3 linked regions of the Nothobranchius furzeri genome follow. The protein of the gene in region 3 interacts with the protein of the main gene of each other region in a pairwise test. Links are inferred from orthologs where the notes say so. Each region holds a gene or a part of one and is shown on either strand. Other genes may lie near its edges.

Region 1 (4,318 bases), on a different chromosome or scaffold from region 3:
TCAAGTGATGATTTGAGCATGAAGTGTTGTTTGTATTGTTGTGCTGTTTTAAAAACCAATATGAAGAGAAGTTAGCCTAATTTTTTAACTGTGTTAACTCAAAATAATTAATAACCCAGCTTTGTAGTAGGTCTGATGCTACGGCGCTGCAAGTTTTTTTTTTTCCAAGAATGACAATCTATAACAGGCTTACAAAAAAATAAAAACAACTTACTTTTTCACATTGGCTTCTCCGTTGGGAATCCTCCTAAGCTTTTTCTTCTTCAGTATCTTCACAGCCCTGCGACAAAGTGTTTCCGAGTCCAGCATTTCTTTCACTTTGCCATAAGATCCTTCCCCTAGCAGATCTCCCATCAGATACTTTCCAATCAGCTTTGCCCTCTTCCTCCGTGGCTGATAGATCACCTCTGTAGAGTCAATGCGGTGAATGAAAGTGTCCATCTCCATAAGTTCGTTTTCATTTAGATAATCAAGATGCTGCAGCTCCCTGGCACTCATGACTGGTGGTTCTACAACCACAGCCTAAGCCTTACGTGCAAAAAATAAACGTTTGAAAACTGGCTATGATTGCTGCTGGGGTGTAATCTGCTGTTAGCCTTTCAGCACTGAACCGAGGGTTTCCATTAGAGAAGTTTTAAAATGCGGAAAATGCGAAGGAGAGAAATAAAGCCTGAGAACTGACGAAAGGTAAGAGAGAAATCTAAAACCTGTAAAAATTAGGGCTCATTTTAGACAGAAACTAAAAGAGGTGCAGAACCTATTGGCTCAAGTGCTAATTTAGTGCTTTAGACTGTGCATTATGAGCTACGTCTTTGATGAGTGCAGCTAAACAGAACTTCAAATGGGAAAAAAAAGGATTCTACACTATTATTTTCTTTTCCGACGGTCTAGGCTATCGTTTTATAGTTTAATACCATACAACTTTAGGTAAAGGAAACCAGTCTTGTTTCAAGGCCTTGCAGCACAGCATTTCTGTCAAAGGTCCTTGCTGGATGTCATAGTTTCCACCCGACACATAAGTGTTTATAGTTGGATTGGATCCAGGCATAAATTGACAACCAAAGCATGCAGCAGTATCAATCCAATCCCTGGTGTCAGTCAGGCTCCAGGGGATCGACTGAACTGTCCACCACGCTGAACTGCCCTCAGGTGTCCTCCATGTCACTACAGTTTCTACAGCCTGATGTCTGAGGAAAAAGGGCAAAAAAAAATATTTAATTATCAGAACAATCACTGATTGTTTTGCAAAATTACATTTGAGTAAAAATCTATTTACACATATTTAAACACCTGGGTAAACATCTTGTGATCAGACACAGGAACATGATCCTTTTCATTAATACAAACAAAAAAAACAACTTTGTCAGAAAGTACTGTGACACAGTTTTGTTAAGTTTTCTACTTAATTGGCTGATCACAACATATTTGAGGGACTTGCTTAAGAGTTTGGGCTTAAAATGCAAAAACTGAGCTTTCAAATAGGTGGTATTCACATCTTGAGAAAGGGTTGAGGAATTACAGCTAGAATCCTCTTGTATAAGGGCTCAAATGTGGACAAAAAACCTCGGGTATTTCTTAATAAGCCGTAGTTTAACAGTAACGTGGGGAAACAACTAAAAACAACAAAAATGTGTGAACACCTTAGAGCTAGCGGTTAGCAGAAAATTTGACTGAATGAATTAGCTTTCCAGTATTAACTTCAACTTATTCGGCGTGCCCCTTTAGAACAATCATGAAAAGTTTAAAACCAAAGTAACTTGTTTGGCCGGTGACCAACTGAGGGGGTGCGGGGAGACTAGCGAAACGTCGTCACACAACTGTAGCTAACGATGAATGATGTGCAGAAGCTTCATCAGACGTTACAATTAACCAACTTCACAAGAAGACGCGCGATATTATCCAACTATATCGCAGTGTGTTTGTCTGATAATAAAACCAAACTCAGTTCTAAAACGTAACGAGCTTTAAATTTCACCAGAAGGATCCAGCTAACACGGGCTAACGGAGACGCTCAGATTCCAATGCAATTTGCTAGCTAGCAAGCTAAGCAGCTACAGTAACCGGCTCTTACCTTAATCTTTATGAAGGTTATTTCTTTGTGAGGCTTAAATACTTTTAACGTGTTCGTCCTCGATTAATCAAACGTTCCGCTTCAGTATAACACAATATCAGTAAAAATTTCCTCACTATTCGTGCTACTCTTGCCTCTCAGGTTGTCGCCATCTTGTTTACCTCCCCCCCTAGCAGCCCCAACACGTTACTGCGTCAAATCAAAGTCCTCCTCCCCACCCCTCCCCTTCTGGAGCAACAACAAAACTGACCTGTCTGCTTTATTTTTACGTCATTAATTCCCTAAAAACGCACAGTAAAGAATACATTATTTTTATTTAAAAAATGAGTGCAATGTAAGTTAGACGAAAATAAAAATAATCAAAAAGAAAATTACAGGAAAATAACATCTTTTGCATATTTTGTTGTTTCCGCAGATTTTTTTAAATTTACATTATTTTCGTATATTGTAAAAAATTACTAAATTATCTAACTTTCATTTTTGTTCCTTTGCAGTTTCAACTATGTGAATTTATGGTATTAATATAAAACGATCAGGGCTTTGTTTTGAAAAATTCATAACATTTTTTCAAATCTGTGACCTTCTTCATAACTCACTAAAGCATAAGTGAAAAATGATAGTTAAAAACTAATAGGACAGTCTTAGTATAATATGGCGCAGCTTTATATTTTATTTTTTATAAATTCTGCAAAACTCCCCCACAATTCGTTCATTTCACCTTTAAAATTAAAGCACCTTTTGTTAATCGTTGTTTTATTTGCAAAAGTAAATGTTATTGTGCTAAAACTAGAGTCAAATAGAAATGCACCGATTCGTGTTTCGAGGGCTGATGCTGATTTCTGCACAGGTCTGACCTGCTAATATCAATTTTGGCATAATCTGCATTATCTTAAAGAACTATAATTACCAGAATTTATTTTATTTCAAGACCAGAAGTAAAAAATTTGGCATGGAAAATCTGTTTGCACTTTATTGCTGTTTAAAAGGGGGGGATCTACTCTTTGGGACTCAAATCAGCTGAATGTTGGGCGATTGGCATCACCAGTCATTTATTGAGTGCACTCCTACTTGAAAGCACTTATTAAAAACTCAAGCACGTTCAAAACCTATAAAATGGTAAAATTAAAGTATTTTTAAAGATTTCAAACTCCCAAAAAATCTCATCGACAATTTTTAGGAACTATTTAGGCAAAATAAATGAAACAAAACGTATCTATTGAAACCTGCATTTTGTAACACTTTAAAACCCAGTGAGTTTGCGCCACCCCTACAACTGATGTTTTTAACTTTATCAACCTCAGATGTTCCTGGTGTGGCCAAAAGGTGTCTCTTGCTTAGCTGGGGTCTCCAGGGTTATATTTATCCCATGTAAACCTCTCTAAGGAATGGCAAACTGAAGGTCTGATTTCACTGGTCTGTTATCCTCCTCACAGGTCGCTCCAGTCCAATCGTCTCTGCTTTACGGCAATGAAGAAATGAAAAAATACCAACGAGAAAAAGACAAAAACAGATTTAGGTTAAATTTTTCTAAAGTCAGCATTTGTTAGGACTTGGGTAACAATTTCAGATTTCAGTAAGATATCTTTTTTATTGTCATCACTGCAGCATACAATGAGAGGAAGCAATAATTACAGCACAGTGAAAACATCACTAGATGCACAAATTACACAGAAGAGTGTGTTCTTATGCAAAACTGTTATATAGTCAGGAGGGCAAAGATTTCTGAGGATGCAAAATGATGAGAGTAAAATCATCACAGAAACTAAATACAAGTTTTTATAAACTGTAACACGTTACATTATAAAGCTGAAATGCAACAAAAGCGTGAGCTGTGTTATTTTTGTTTTGTGGTAAACATAAAATGTAGCTAATCTGTTGTTAATTTTTGGATTTCAATAACTTCTCTGACACGTAGGACTCAAACATCTCCACAGCTAAAACGTTCAATTAATGCGCGAGCAGACAAGAGGCAGATGCAGAAACGAGCTTTAGAAGTGGTCCTCTGTATCAGTAATACGGCCTCCGGGGATTGTTCTGCAGGAAGATAACACAGCAGATTCAAATATAGTATCAAAGGACACTTAAACTCTGTCCACACACAAAAAATTCCTATAATTAAAAATGTGTGGCTGCATGATAACGAGATCCTATATGAAGTTTCAAATGAGTGCAAATGCAAATTAGAGCAACGTTAAGAAAAAATGTTACCAGCGGGTTGGGCCTGAAGCGGTAAGCAAGCATCATCCT
Region 2 (3,648 bases), on a different chromosome or scaffold from region 3:
TCACACCGGAATGAGAAGATCTTTGAACGGCGATGCTCACACTAAAGAAATAACGTAATTTTAACACGTAATCATACATTGGAGCAATAAAATTGTAAATAATTATTTCACTGTAGTGAACGCTACCGCGGATCCTCCGTGGTGAAAGATCCATCCATCCATTAGGATTACCAATAAGTAGCATCGACACGTCACACACACTCATCCGTGTCCCTGTCCTCCTCATTAAATATATGAACGTTAATCTTAGCTGGTAAAAACACTTTTGCTGCAAATCCGAAGAGACTTTGAGGGCTTCTAGTCTGTTTGATTGATTGTGGCAGTTCATCCCCGTCATCAGTCTCCATCAAAGTTATTTGGACAAAAAAAAAATGGTTTTGTTGATTTTACATCCTTGTCTGTTAGTGCAGCCAACCTCGCAGCAAGCTGTTACCATTTTACTGTGAAATCGACTAAAGTAAAGCAAAAGACTTTAAAGTGAGTTGCTGTGTTTCACCCTGATCAGCCTTCCTCGGTTCGTTTTGAGTTAGTTGATCATAAATGTGAGATGGGAGGTTGATGCCTTGCTCAAAGACTGGTGTCTGTTCAGACAAGGAAGAGGTACAGAGGAAAAGGCAGAAGACATTGCCAAACTTCCAGGACTTCAGTGGTCACGGAGGAGGAGGTGGTGGAGGAGGAGGAGGGCTGTACCGAGGAGGAGGAGGTCCTGCAACAGGAGGAGGTGAAGTCCAAAACTTTTTAGGGCGCCATTTTGTTTTCATCAGAGAAACGTTTGTGATCTGATTGTCTTTGTTTTTTTTTTCAGGATATTTTCAGGGCTTTGCCTCTTATAGCTATGGGGGAGGGGGAGGAGGAGGAGGAGGTTTCTCCACTGGATACTCAGCTGGTCTGGGAGGAGGAGGAGGCACCAAGCATGGTAAGGAATCAAACCAAAACTCAAAACCTCCTTTCACCAAACAATCCACTTGGAGAGGATAAAGGATGAGGACTGACTGATGTTTTTATTTCTGCAACAATGTGCAGATCTTTACAGCGTTCCCACAAACAGGGACACCTGGAATTTCATACGTTCCTAAAGGAATAAATAAATGTGTTTTTGTGTTGAAGCTTCTGACAGCGACACTGCAGCCGACGACAATGATTCAGACGATGACTCGTCAGGGGACAGACCGAGAGCTCCAGCCATGCCTGGAGGGCTGGAGGAGGGGGAGAGTGAGGAGGAGAGAGTCAGAATGGAGCACGAAGCAGACAGAGGTTTGTTTCTTTCCCATCAGCTGTGATTTTTGCAGTTTATGATGTTTTATTTGATCTGTACTCTGTGTTGTAGAGGATCAGCTGGTTGACGTGACCTGCAGGCAGCTGGATGCGCTCTTTCACTACTCTGTCACAGGTGATTCAGCTTACCTGCTGGCTCCGCAGCGCCCCCTGATGGCAGCACAGGACGAGGACGGAGACACGTCAGTCCGATTCAGACTCACTCACTGACCTGTAACTGTTGCTCTGTAAAATTAAAGCCTCTCTCTCGTGTTAGTGGGCTGCACCTGGCTGTTCTACACAGCCAGCAGGATGCGCTGATGAGTCTGACGCAGGTGGTGTCTGCTCTGCCTGGAGAGGAGGTGCTCAATATGAGGAATCACCTGTACCAGGTACTGAGTCTTTAACAGCTGATGGATAGAGCTGGATATTCAGTTCACAGTTAAACTAAAATTCTCTGATTTCAACTAAGTGGCAGAAATCTAAACTATAGAAAAGTAACCAAGCTCAAGCAGCCTTTTAACATTCACTACAATTTCCAGACTCCTTTGCACCTGGCGGTGATTACTCAGCAGAAGGAGGCAGTGGAGGCCCTGCTACTGGCTGGTGCTGACCCGACTCTTACAGATCGCCATGGCAACACAGTGCTGCACCTGGCAGCTCAGCAGGAAGGAGGCGGCATGGTGGGGTTCTTACTGAGACGCAGAGAGTTAAGAGAGCTGCTGCAGTGCTGCAACTCTGCAGGTACACACACTAGTGTTGTCAAAAAAATCGATACCTAGATATAAATCAATACTAAATGTGGTATCTAAATTAGATATTCCATCCCTGTGTTATTGATATTATGGACTATTATACACAGCCTTCTTCAAGTACACCGACACGCACGACAGCCAGATGCCGTAAAGCAGCCTCTGCCTCCCAGACAAACAGAAGAAGAAGATGCCGCATGGCTACATTGCAATTTCCCACGCAAGTTGTCTCCGATCCAAGTTTTGTCTGCCAAATAAATAAACTAAAACATAAACAGCGAATTTGGGAGGCGCTTCACAGCCCAACTTAATTAGCATACCAAGTCCGACACGTAGTTGTATATTTGCGCATATATGCTTAAAGGAAAAGTCCCGTTTATTGCAACCCTGACTTAATTTCTAGCATGCAGTACGTTTGTTTACTCAAGTTGACAACTTTGGTGCTACTTGGATTCCCCGGGGTGTTTAGATCCATCGGCGAATCGCCATCAGTGTATATCCATATAACGGGTGCGGACGGGCACCCATGGTGCAGCCTCGAAATAAGACATTGTCTGCACCAAAACATCTCAATGTCGAAAGGTTTTTTTTAGGAATCATTAACGTGATTCCCCTGTTCGTTTGGAGCGAGTCTGGGATTTCTAGGCGTGAACAGACTAGCCGCGGCTAATCTAACCGGCGCTTTTAATGACGTCACTGCCGTGCGCCAATCTGTTTTTATTAAGATTACCGGTAGATGTACCTTTGTCCTACTGTGGAGAAATTCGTTTTCTCCCTTTATTGACCAACAGAATTGTTCAAAAGTACAGAACAAAACATATGGCATTACATCTTATGACAAAAATGCACCTTAAACAGAGTTTAAGCAGCAAAACATCACTCTGCAAATAGTGTATATATAGTGAGGCAATACATGATTTTAAGTGTTAACTTTCGCCAGTTTTTGTATGCACGTTTTAAAAAAATGCTGATACTTGAAAGGTTTAAGCACTTAATACACTTAATTCTTAACATTTAATTTTTGCAATATAAATTGAGGAATGTTATTTTTTTAATAAACTTGTTCAATAAATCGAAATCGAGTATCGAGTTTCTTTTCCAGTATCGAATCGAGTTTGAAATTTTAGTATCGTGACAACCCTAACACACACACACACACACACACACACACACACACACACACACACACACACACACACACACACACACACACACACACACACACACACACACAGAAGGAAAAACAAGGTCTCATGTGCTGTGTCTCTATGGTTACAGGTATGTGTGCCATACACCTGGCAGTTCTGGCCAATCAGCTTTCCTCTCTCAGAGAGCTGCTGGAGGGTGGTGCTGATGTGGAGGCTCAGGAGCGTAGTTGTGGACGGACTGCCCTCCACCTTGCCACAGAGATGGATAACGTGTCGCTGGCCGGCTGCCTGCTGCTGGAGGTACATACCGACCAATCAGATGAAAGCTCTTGTTTAGGGGTTTCCGTCATATTGTTTCTTTTTTGGTGGTAAATATTTCCTCTATGAAATCAAATGTCATAGTATTATTTTAACAAAATAAGAGCAGCAAGTATGCATTTGTGTTTCCAGGGAAACGCCATAGTGGACTGCTGCACCTTTAATGGCTCCACCCC
Region 3 (4,332 bases):
GTTTATGTGAAAATGTAATGGACCTTTGGAGTTTTCCCATCATTAGCTCCTTTTGTAGGGTCACAGGTCAGATTTTCTCCTTTAGGATTTTCTAGTAGAGAGCAGAATTCATGGTTTCCACAATTACAGCAAGTCATCTAGGTCTTGAAGAAGCAAAGCAGTCCCAGACCATCATGCTACCTCTACCATGCTTGACTGTTGGTACTGTGATCTAACAGAAATCAGGCCTGGGTGCAGCTAGTGAATATGAACTCAGCTTTCCAAATAAAGTAGTTAATACATTTTTTTTCATGATCAGAACCAAGTTGGTTTGGATAGCTTTAATAAAAAAAAACTATTCATTTGAAGCTGCATTTTGTATTTACTCAAGTTTGTCTGATATTTAAAAATTTAGGTGTGAAAATAAAAGTGAAAGCAGAATAAATCTGAAATGGGGTAGATTTTTTTTGGCCACAGAAATTTACATTGCGTTTCCTGTAAAGATTAGATCAAACTCGCTATCATAAGAAATGCCTAACAAAAAAAGAGCATGTTTACTGATCTTTCATTATTCAAATAATGTCAGTGCATCAGAAACATGAGGTCATATGAAAGTAATCTCACTGATAACACGTTGCAAAGATTGGTCATGTGTTGGTAGTGCAGTTATGCTTGGATTCCATGTGATGATGAGGTTGGTTTATTAGTGGAACAGGTTTAGTGCTGTAAGAAAGCAGTAATGAACCATACGACCATTAAAAAAAAGACCATACAAAACTCATGTATCAATTTTCTGGTTTAGCCTAAATGGAATTACTCAGATAATAATAATAATAATAATAATAATAATAATAATAATAATAATAATAATAATAATAATAATAATAATGAGCTAAAAAGTATCAAATGCAGTGGGGGAAATTCACATGGACAAAATAATGGACTGTGAGGGGAATTCATATACTGAATCATCTGATGTGATTGGTAGGGACGGGATGTTTGGTAACTGGGAAACTGTACTTGTTAGCATCTATTTGTGTTGCCATATACTTTCAGGTGAAAGCCACCACCCAAATACTGGGTTCACAAAAAATGTAACTTAGATTAGCATTTTTTGTGACTCACGTGAATAATATTCGAAATGTGTAGAGTGGGGATTGTTCTATCAGGTGAACTCGTTTGGTTTGTGCTGAATGTTCTCGAATTTACGACGGCAGTGAATGCAGCAGTGATATCAATTTTCTGGTTGCCTAACTAGCCGACGCTAGCTAGCTGAAGACAGCAAGAAAGGGGAATCGTTTTGTGTTTTTGTACAAACAGCCAGTGAATTTGTGCCAACAGCCTGACAAGCCTCCACTTTTTTTTACCAACGGATCTCGGCAGTGAGTCTTTGAAAGCCAGGCTCCGTTTTGACGACGCTCAGAAAAGTCCGCGGGGAAGTTCCCTAGGAAATCCCCCAAGAGCGTCCGGGGATATTCTCGACACTGATGCGCCAGATCTCCTCCAGAATTCACCTTCTCGGTGTGTTTCTGAAAGACTCAGAGTAAGAGGCAGAGGCGTCAAATGCTGGATTATTAAAAGACTGAAACCGTTTTTCGCGAAATCTACAAATTTTAAGCATTGCGATTGCGATGGATAGCTCGAGTAGTTTGAAGGCGGAGAACGAGGCGCAGCCGAAGGACAAAATGCGGAGCTACAGCGTGTTAAACACTTTGTTTCACGAGACGAGGCAGGAAATCGAGCTTCTCAACAAACAGATCTGCGTAAAGGACAATATAATCGCAGATTTAAAGTCCAGGGTCGGGAGGCATGAGAGGATCTGCATGACGATGGGAGACGACGAGCGGGTGTTCCTCGGTCCCTCCAAGTCTTTGGTGGAGAGTTTACTGAAGGAGCTGTGCAAAATAAAACAGAAGAAAGATGATCTGGAGCTCAAGGCATCCTGTCAAGCAGAGGTAAAAAACCAGCAGCTCCAAAGGAAGCTTCAAATATGTAAAAAGCATGATTTATTTCTGTCATTTTCAGGAAAAAAGTTGGTTTCTCATACTTTCTTCTTTGTGTCCCCCAAACTAGGAGATCCAGAGGTTGAACCTGCAGCTCAGAGAGAAAGATCTGGAGCTGGAGAGCATCAGGTGTCAGCCGGACCACGACAAGGACCAGGAGATCCACAGGCTGAGGACAGCCCTGGAGGAGAAGCAGCGGGCCGAAGCCACCAGGACCGTGCTCTGCACGTCGCTGGCCGAAGAAGCTGACCAGCTGCGGGGTCAGCTCAGCGCCACAGTGAGGGTGTGCCAGGAGCTGCTGGGCAGGCTGGAGAAGAAGGGAGGAGACGGAGAAGAAGTGGAGGAAGTGTCCCAGCAGCAAAAAGTACAATTTCATCTTATTTTATAATATTTTTGCTCAATATATATATATATAAACAATATAAAAAATCAATGCCTTCTTTGCTCTTTTTGAGTTATTTATTAACCCCTTTTTGACTTTTTATTCCAGACGCCCAGCTCTTCTGACCTAAGTGCTGCCAAATCCCAAATTCATCAGCTTCAAGAGGAGAACCAACAGCTGAAGCAGCGCGTAGCTTATGTGCGTTTGTATTTTTGATTTCAACAGATTTCCCCCTATATTTCAGTGCAAAATTTTACTTCCAACCAAATCTGTTATCAGCTGCACACACAATTTCTAATGCTGAGCTTTGCTTCTTATTTATTTCCATTGTTTAGGTACAGAGTTTGAATTCTCAGTGGCAGAAGTATGACTCAAGCAGGGAGGACTACATCCGAGGGTTGTGTCAGAGGCTGAAGGAGAACACCGGGCAGGGCTCCGTCAGCTCAGTGTTGCTTCATCAGGAGATCGCCAGGCTCAACACTTTACTGGAGGAGAAAATAAGAGACTGTTCAAGGTTGGAGAGAGAGGTGGAGGAGATAAGGAGGCAAGGCCAAGAGCGAATCCAGACCTTGGAGCAGCAGGTTGGTATTAATGTAATATTAGCACATTTAAAGTGATCGTAATCGTTTTGTGAATTTTCAAAGTTGTTTTGTTTTCCCCGTAAGGTTTTGATTTATACAGACGACTTTAAATCAGAGCGAGCCGACAGAGCGCGTGCACAGGGTCAGATCGCAGACCTGAAGGAGCAGATTTCTCAGCTGAAGCAGCAGATCCACAAACAGGTGAGGTGTCAGATCGTCATTTAGATGCTTCTGTACAAGCATCCACTCATTTTTTTACTTATTACAGCCACGTGGCTTGACAAGGTGTTTGTAAATCTCTGCAGGGAGCAGGCAGAGACCTGGGTTCTGTGTGCCGTGTTCACATAGGACACAGGATCTCCTCGAGGCGAAGTAAGGACTCCTCAGAGCCTCTGCTAAGGGCTGCTGCTGAAAGGCCGCCGCCGCCTGCAGTGGACGCTGCTGCTGCAAACGTAACAAATTGGAACGAACTCCCAGGTCTGTCGGAACTACAGTGTCCGCACTGCTCCGCCAGGTTCAACGACACAGAAGCTGCAGAGTGCATGAACCATTTTGAAGAGTGCGCCCGGCTATAAACGAAAACCAGTTTTTGATTCTCTACTGAACACTGTAAAGCAGCACTACAATGCAGGAAGCAACCTGGGTGGAGGTTCAGATTAAATAACTGACATCTTGAGATGTGAACATAACCCCAAACTTTCCATTTTGCAAGAGAAAATGAGTTCATGGTTTTAGATCTGTACAAACACCCAGACAGAGTTGTCCCATGGCACTGCAGGAGATTACTGTGTTGGGGAGAGAAGATGCCAATGCAGTTTTTAAAATGTTATATACCTCAATGTCAAATTACAATCTTTTTGCACTTTTTTGTTATTTAGCCCAAAAAAAAACCATTGTGTTATCATAATGCGATTAAAATATTATTGATGCATAAGCTTCTTACTTTGGGTTTATACCTAATTGTTTATGTGGTGCTATTGTTAGTGTTTCTTTAAGTAAATATATTCTTTTAATGACAGATTTAAAAAGTCTAACTATATTAATATTTATTTGTATTTCTCATTGGAAAAGAGTGATTGTTTCAGTGCAATGTCTTGTTTTTATATCCAACTTAAGCCATAAATGTTGTGTAAACATGTATTTTTAAATACATGACAGGCAGAAATAAATATTTCAATCATTTTTAAAGCAGTATATGTAAATAATGCATCCAAACTGACATAAAATCATTTTTAAAGACTTAGTTTTTTTCCTGTAGATGTTATTTTTGTAATAAAACATGTTGTTTCCTATAAATATGATCTATTGAAATGTAGCTTTTGATTGTGTGGTGCATTTTTCATCTGAGAGATAAATCTGCAGCACGTAGCTTCAACCACAGATCGTG

What was found.
Region 1: the proteins of tnip2 (region 3) and stk11 interact in binary tests that used the Homo sapiens proteins (3 or more experiments, as listed by UniProt). The link is inferred for Nothobranchius furzeri from reciprocal best matches to the Homo sapiens genes TNIP2 and STK11.
Region 2: the proteins of tnip2 (region 3) and nfkb1 interact in binary tests that used the Homo sapiens proteins (3 or more experiments, as listed by UniProt). The link is inferred for Nothobranchius furzeri from reciprocal best matches to the Homo sapiens genes TNIP2 and NFKB1.

The regions. Positions count from the first base shown.
Region 1 is NC_091751.1:56,737,920-56,742,237, forward strand, and holds the start of stk11 (serine/threonine-protein kinase STK11), read right to left. Parts: upstream 2,830-4,318; 5' UTR 2,072-2,829; intron 1,188-2,071; 5' UTR 499-1,187; coding exon 215-498; intron 1-214. Other genes in the region: sugp1 (SURP and G-patch domain-containing protein 1), read right to left, coding at 4,079-4,105, 4,280-4,318. UniProt on the Homo sapiens protein: Tumor suppressor serine/threonine-protein kinase that controls the activity of AMP-activated protein kinase (AMPK) family members, thereby playing a role in various processes such as cell metabolism, cell polarity, apoptosis and DNA damage response.
Region 2 is NC_091741.1:65,301,369-65,305,016, reverse strand, and holds part of nfkb1 (nuclear factor NF-kappa-B p105 subunit), read left to right. Parts: intron 1-589; coding exon 590-721; intron 722-805; coding exon 806-916; intron 917-1,107; coding exon 1,108-1,254; intron 1,255-1,327; coding exon 1,328-1,457; intron 1,458-1,531; coding exon 1,532-1,646; intron 1,647-1,796; coding exon 1,797-1,998; intron 1,999-3,284; coding exon 3,285-3,454; intron 3,455-3,604; coding exon 3,605-3,648.
Region 3 is NC_091744.1:17,107,990-17,112,321, reverse strand, and holds tnip2 (TNFAIP3-interacting protein 2), read left to right. Parts: upstream 1-1,407; 5' UTR 1,408-1,610; coding exon 1,611-1,934; intron 1,935-2,052; coding exon 2,053-2,346; intron 2,347-2,472; coding exon 2,473-2,562; intron 2,563-2,699; coding exon 2,700-2,945; intron 2,946-3,029; coding exon 3,030-3,146; intron 3,147-3,250; coding exon 3,251-3,520; 3' UTR 3,521-4,260; downstream 4,261-4,332. UniProt on the Homo sapiens protein: Inhibits NF-kappa-B activation by blocking the interaction of RIPK1 with its downstream effector NEMO/IKBKG.